Linked DNA regions of Tribolium castaneum. The protein of the gene in region 2 purifies or fractionates together with the protein of the main gene of each other region. This does not show direct contact. Links are inferred from orthologs where the notes say so. Each region holds a gene or a part of one and is shown on either strand. Other genes may lie near its edges.

Region 1 (4,273 bases), on a different chromosome or scaffold from region 2:
TATACAATGTATTATTGTCCTTTTTTTTCTGTCATACGAATATATATTTGTACCACAATGGTTTTCATGAAAGTAAACCAAAAGTATAAATTATAGGTCACAAACACAGATTTTCGGGGAAACGATCTTCCAAAGAAAAACGTCGTTTACTACATCAGTGGGTACCTGGCCAGGAAGTGTTTGGGCAAATACACATATACCCAACCTGCAAAGAGTACGCCATAACGATGGATGAACTTGACGCTTCTACACTTTTCACGCACTTCAAAGGACAACACACAGAAAAATCCGGTGGCACAGGTGGGGCAATTCACTTGAAGCGGACCACTCAAATAAATGCGACAACCTGAAATTCGGTTATAATTGTTCTCTTAAAAAGTGTGAATGTAAATACGTAATGATTTGTTTGTGAGCGATTTATTTAAAAAGTTATTGACTTCTAAAAATTGACCAAATATTAAGCATAACGTTTTTGTAAATTGTTTTTCTAATTATACAATATATAACAAAATATTTAAAATGGTGTTTTATACACAAAATTCACTGTTCTTTGTAACTCTAAAATCAAATTTGAAATTTGAAATTTTTTCGTATTGAAAACCGAAAGTGAAGTTTCAAATCCAAATTTTAGTAACATGGACCATTTTTTTAAATTTGTTTTTATTTTAAAAAATAGCTTAAAGTAAATAGAGTTTACACTACAAGTCGCAAAATGGGAGTTTTATTCGTTTAGGAGATATAATACTTAATGTACTCAAAAACGCGTAATTTCTTGCGTAAACCGGCCGATCACGTACATTAAGTACTGTATTTCCTATAGGAATAGAGATCCCATTTTGCGACTAATAATGTAAATCCTAGATTATAAGCAATTTTTTGAAATAAAAAAAAATGAAAAAAAAAATGGTTCAAGTTACTAAAATTCGGATTTGAAACTTCACTTTCGGTTTTCTACACGAAAAAAATTCCAAATTCCAAATCTGATTTCAGAATCAAAAAGCACAGAGAATTTTCTAGATATATAAAGCACTATTTTAATTATTCTGGTATGCATCAGTTTTTTTGAATAAAAGCTTCCAAAAACTGTCTCATATTTCGTCAAATTTTTAGAAGTCAATATCTTCACAAATAAGTGTCATACAAAAAATCATTATGTATTTACAATTATGCTTTCTAGGAGAACAATTATCCCGAATATAACCGAATTTCAAGATACTTTTGGAAAACTTTTAATGCATGTAAAGTCAACACGTATTACTGGTTGCCTGTACTTACCAATTTTGCACATCATCTTAAGAAGTAGATAATGAATAATTTTCAAAACTGATATCAAAAAACATAGAATCAAAAATTCGTATTTTACAAACAAACACACTTGTCAATGTCGCCAATCGGAGCCACCCATTGGTAAAAATTCCCAACTGGGTCAGTTGGCGACCCTGCAATGGGTGTAACTGTCGTTTGTTGACTACAGCTTGAGTCATCAGCATGATTTGATCAAATAATTTCCAATTTTTTCATTTGCAGTGTACACCAAGTGTTCGTTTATTAAACTTCAGTAATTATTTCGTACCAAATCGTGGAATGTAGTAATGGAAATCACGAATTTTCTTTGTTTCTTTTTAACTGTGCTTGGACAAAGTGTGTTTGCAGGTAAATTTCAACTCCAACTGTCATTAAATGTTTATGATATTGATAAGTAGATAAAACATTGATAAGGAATAGATAAGGGAGCTTCAAATATTGGTCATAAAATCATAACCTAAAAAGGTGCAACTTCACCAATATTAGAGCATCGCCAATGTTGGGCCCCTTAATTATTTAATTAAAACAGTTTTCGGTTTATTTTAGTGCATTTTGACCTGGCACCGGTCTCAATTTGCACATCTATTTCCGATAATGTAAATAAGGATGTATATTTCTTCCTTTTTATTGATTTTTCGTACTTAATCACTATTTTTAATCCCGAATCGAACTGACCTCTGTCCTGTTTATGATAAACCGGTTCAAGGAATCAGAAAATTAGAATTTTAAACACTGTTATTTCCGTTTATGAAAATTCGTAACCACTGTTGGCTGTGAAAATAGTCAATTGACAAGTACCCACTCGATTTTTTCATTGCATCCTCAACCCACTTGATTTTTTGATTTTAGACTTCTACAATGAGTACGAATGCAACAACCCGTTACTACAACGTGCCGTTTTAAAGGCCACATCTTCCATGCCGAAAAGGGGTCCCGAAAACGCCGTTTTGTGGGGTAAGTTTTTAATACCTCTCCCATCGTTGAAATATCAATGGAATGGTACTGTAGGTGCCCTTTAACGAGCAAAAATGTCGAATAAAAGTGTCCGTTGGGCTTTCAATTTATCCAAATGGGAGCCCTCCCATTCAGACATGTTGCTAGCAACGTCTTGTGTCCAAGTTGAGGAGAAAGAACGCTTAGCGAGATTTGTGTTCAAAAATGACGTTAAATCGTCGTTAATAGGTCGCTTGTTAATGAGGAAATTCGTTAACGAAGCGACCGGACTCAAATATAACGAAATTAAGTTCGCGCGCGATGAAAAAGGCAAACCGTTTCTTACAAATAACAATTTTCCGATAAATTACAACGTGTCCCATCAGGGGGATTACACGGTGTTGGCTGGGTGTAACAGTGCGGGTTTGTTGGGGGTAGATGTGGTCAAAGTGGAGTTTCCGAGGGGTAAAAGTTTGGGTGAATATTTTAGATTAATGTCGCGGATTTTTTCGGGAACAGAGTGGGAAAAAATTAGGGGGCAAGGTAGCGAGAAAAATCAGCTGGCGATGTTTTGTCGACACTGGTGCTTGAAAGAGAGTTATCTGAAGGCTGTAGGTGTCGGAGTGACGATAAATTTGCAAGATGTTTGTTTTAAAATAAACTCGGATGTTTTGAGGAAAGATCGGGTCGTTGATGATACAGAGGTTTATTTTAGAGGGGAAAAATTAGACTGGGAGTTTCAGGAGATGCTTTTGGATGATCAGCATTGCGTTGCCGTTGCAACGGAGGCGAGCACTGGCGAGAAATTTTTTTTCAAAGAGATTGGTTTTAATGAAGTTATGGAAAACGCTGTTGCTTTGTTAGAACCGGACGAGGATTATTGTAATAGTTTTTTTAAAAAGTGTGACAAAAGTTGATGTAATAAAGTGGGTTTTGGGGGATTTTTGTTTGTTTGTTTTTTTCGTACCATTCCATGATATTTTTACGAGGGTTGTTACGATTGGTACCATTCGTAGTATGGCACAATGTTTTAATTTGATGACCCGATTGCATGCAATTTGATTAGTTTGTCAAGTATTGATTGCATGGAAATTTTGTTTTATTAAGTTCGCATTCATGTTCATGTGGGGGAATCGCTTCTTTTACTTAAAAGTTTAAGAAACGTTTTTTGTTTGTGTTTTATTCTTATTGTTGGTAGTCATAGTTACCAAGTAGTTAGTTATTTTTTGTTGTGTTAAATTAGTCCGATAAATTATAATTTCACTATTAGGGTCGCTAAAACAATAGGGATTTATGAATTTATTCTGCTCTATTGCGGCATTTTACACACATTACCGAAATTTTGTACAAGTTTTTGCGAATAATGTTTGAACATGACACTGTTTAAAATAACCATTACATTTATAACTCAACTCAATGATTACAGATCTTTAAACTGTTATACCAAAAGTATATCAAAGAAAAAAAAATAACGAAAAATCTTCATAAATAATGAATAATAATATGGAAGTTACCTGTTATTAATTTTGGAAGAGGAGAGTTCTAATCTCAAAAACAAGTTTCAGGATCGTTCAAAAATTTCTTATAATTATAATTAATTAACATTACATCATTTTAGGACAAGTGAGCTTAACTGTTTTATGTTAAAAATCTGTAAAAAAATGTTGTTAGCTTCTAAAAATTATTAAATAATAATTAGCAATTCAAATAAACATTATTTAATCATTGTTTATTTTAGAATACATTGGAAATTGTAAAATTTAAAATAAAAGTATTTTTTTAAAACTTCATATTTTGCTATGGCCGAGATAATTTGGGCCGTGTGAATAAACTGAAGTAAATGCTTTTTTGTACTCATAGCTATTTTTAGCTATCTAAAATATTTAAGGTAGCTCCAGCGTGTGGGAAACGAACTTTCCCGCACTGCGGTGTTTTTTACTTTGCAACAATGGTTAGGAACATTTAATAGGTTGGTATCGTTACCCGTTGAGATAGAAACGATAATTTTTTTATGATGAGTGAAAGTTCATGTCAA
Region 2 (3,143 bases):
AATCTTATTGGAAAAAACTAATTTCGGCAATGGACACGTTCCTCTTTTTAATGATAAAGATATAACGCTACTGAATTCCAGTCCGGTGGATATTTTCAAAAGAAACCACAATACACGTGCACATCATACACAACCCCACGACAAAGGTTTAACACGAAAACAATATAATTGTTCCTAGGAATCTCAAATAATACAGTTCTGAAAATTCGATCGATCGCGATTTCAGGAAAAACGTTCTTATCTTTTTATTGCACACAAACGCCTGTTTTTGCAACTTTTATCCTTGTCTGTCTGCAGTGCTAAATAGACAATGAAGACAGGTGGAACTTTCACCTTCAAAGCAAAATTGAAAGTAATAAACGGGGCTTATGCTTGCTAGACTCATTTCAGATCAACGTATCTGCATTTGCAACCAGAAATTTTACTTTACTATTGTCTCACCTTCAGATTTTACGACAAATTTTATTGGGGAGAAGATTTGCTCCTAATTTAGCCGCAATAAAGTGCGCGTGGCGACACCTAGCAGCTATCAGGCGAGCCAGTTGGGGAGGATGCATGGACAGCTCCACACATTTATTAGAGGTAGTGTCAGGATTTCCGATTAAAACCACAATGTTTTACAAAAAATTTATTTAAAAAATTACACCGATACTCTGTATATTTCTATTATATAATAAAGATAAAAACAAACTACAACCTTGTGTTGGACGGATTTATGATTTATGATGTAAAAGCACAGAAAATTTGAACACGTCATTAGAAAAAATATTGCTAAAGTATTACATTTGATACAGGTACGTTTTACATAATGCAATCCTGTTAAGGCACAAGTTCAGAAGCCTCAAACGTCGGAATGATATAAAAATGATGGCCTTTTGACGAAGTAAACAAAATAAAACATAACAAAAACTGGACTCATGTTGTTAGTAGATAATGAAGCAGACATGCGATGACGATTGTTATTGTAAATGGTTTTAAATCCTCACAAGCACTTCGGTAATATGCAAGTGGACCTGCAAAACAATCACATAAGCGTGCAAGACTAAGCGAAGCCGTCCAAGTGAACGAATCAATTATTACTATTGCTAAACCCACCCATTCGGAACTTGACTTCGGGGGAGCTCATGCGGCCGTCGCCGCCGTTCGAGTATGCGAGCACACGCATTCTGTAGGTTTTGCCAGGCTGTAGGTTATTAACGTAGGCTTCTAATTTGCCACCGAATGGTTTTATAGTGTCATTCGCGGTGCTTATGTCTTGATCGAATTCCCATACACGAATCTGCAAATCGCTGAGTCAGACAAGCAAAACAACATACACCGTACCTTGTAGCCTTTGAGCGGCTCTTCCTCCAACGATGGTTGGACGTACCGCCACACCACTTTGACCGTCGATGGATTGATGCCATAGACATGAACCGACGACGGTGGTTTTTGTGGCGCCTTTCGGAACGTACGTTCTACACAAACAATTAGCAAAAAATCACGGAAGAGGGGGGAAATATTTACCGATGAAACGTTCACTCTCGGGGCCTTCACCGGCCGAGTTGTAGGCCATAACTTTGACGAAGTAGTACGTGTCGGGTTGCAAACCGACGATAAGGGCCCACGGCCGTGTCGTACGCGACAAATAATAGACACTTTCCTCCTCCTTGGTGCCCTTCTTCCAGTACTTGATCTATAATTTGCGCTAACTATGGAACAAATCTCGGCGATTTTGGTTTACTTACACGATGTCCGATGAGTTTGCCTCTGACTTTCTCCCTCGTCTGGTCAATTGGTACCCAACTGACATTAAGCGCCGTCGAGTTGAACGATCTAGCAACGACCAGTTGTGGCGCAACTTGCGGCATGTCCTCGGCAGAGTATATAACATGTTCTGGACTGATCGGCCCAGGACCTATCTGATTAATAGCTTGCACTTTAACAATGTATTCCGTGTAGTAGTACTGTGGCGGTATGTGCACTACCGCCATTCCCGTGTTCCCGAACTCCTTCAATTCCTGAGTCTGGAATTCGACTTCTTGGTCCTTCCGCTTCCAGAATATCCTGTAGTAAATGCCAGGACCGTTCTGCTCGTCTGGCTTGAGTGGCGACCACGTGATGGTCAAATCGCCAATCTTGCCGCCTCCACCGCCAATGTTATATGGGGCGATGTAGGGACGGTCCGGCGGCGTCGAATGCCGGGGGCTGGGGGCTGACGGGGGCCCCATCCCCCAGGAGTTCCAAGCGGCTATGCGAAACTCGTAAGTGGACCAAGGAGTCAAGGCAGTGTCAATCAGACTCTCCTTCTGGCCGGTGTATCTGTCAATCTCCCGCACATCAACAATGTAACTAATGTTGACCCAGGTCTGGTTCCAGTTCGTGCGACCACTGACGGTGTAACCCCGGATTTGGGAGCCGTGAGTGGCACCATCGGTCCATTGCAGCGTGAACGAGCTCTTCTGAATGGACACGGTGACGCCACCTGGCGGACCAGGAGGCCCCTCGACCACGACCACCGACCGAGATGAGATTTTACCAACGGTTGATTTTATAGTACACTCGTATTCCCCAGCGTCGGTAAACGTGGCATTTGTCACGGAAAGAAACCCACCATCGATTCGCTAAATTCCGCAATTGAGGACGCAATACACAGGTTACAGCTACTCACCAAACGATAATTCATGTTTTTGATGTCGATGTCGCGGATTTTAATGCCATTATGGCTCCAAACGTACGCAATGTCTAACATTTCCTCAGTCTCGGCGAGACATCGTAAGTCGAAGTAACGGCCGACCGTCGTCACAATTTTCGGAGTCAAGCTTTCAATCAAACGCGGGCCCCCTAAACCATCATTGCCATCAGCCGTACTACTGTACTAAACTTACGTAAAACGATCAAGCGTCCCTTCGATTCGTCCACTCCGAACTGATTAGATGCCCTGCACGTGTACTGCCCCTCGTCATCGCGGGACACCGAACTGATAACCAAATTACCGTTCTCTAAAATTCTTCGATGCCCCCCCGAACCTTTAATTGTGTTAGTCGTTTGGCAACAGAGGGCACGCTATCTCACCTAAAACATTCCCGTCTTTCTTCCACACGAACTCGGGCCTTGGGGCCGCCTCTGGGTTACATTTTATAGTCACACTGCCCCCTTCAGCG

The links.
Region 1: the proteins of Cont (region 2) and Nrx-IV purify together in Drosophila melanogaster (affinity purification with western blotting; 4 studies listed by BioGRID). This does not show direct contact. The link is inferred for Tribolium castaneum from reciprocal best matches to the Drosophila melanogaster genes Cont and Nrx-IV.

The regions. Positions count from the first base shown.
Region 1 is NC_087400.1:9,577,537-9,581,809, reverse strand, and holds the start of Nrx-IV (neurexin-4), read left to right. Parts: upstream 1-1,439; 5' UTR 1,440-1,592; coding exon 1,593-1,653; intron 1,654-2,154; coding exon 2,155-2,259; intron 2,260-2,313; exon of another isoform or gene 2,314-2,333; coding exon of another isoform or gene 2,334-3,155; exon of another isoform or gene 3,156-3,179; intron 3,180-4,273. Other genes in the region: L-aminoadipate-semialdehyde dehydrogenase-phosphopantetheinyl transferase, read left to right, coding at 2,334-3,155. UniProt on the Drosophila melanogaster protein: Seems to play a role in the formation and function of septate junctions.
Region 2 is NC_087403.1:3,391,882-3,395,024, forward strand, and holds the end of Cont (contactin), read right to left. Parts: coding exon 3,055-3,143; intron 3,009-3,054; coding exon 2,868-3,008; intron 2,824-2,867; coding exon 2,651-2,823; intron 2,604-2,650; coding exon 1,728-2,603; intron 1,676-1,727; coding exon 1,507-1,675; intron 1,458-1,506; coding exon 1,324-1,457; intron 1,280-1,323; coding exon 1,081-1,279; intron 1,014-1,080; coding exon 916-1,013; 3' UTR 616-915; downstream 1-615. UniProt on the Drosophila melanogaster protein: Required for organization of septate junctions and paracellular barrier functions.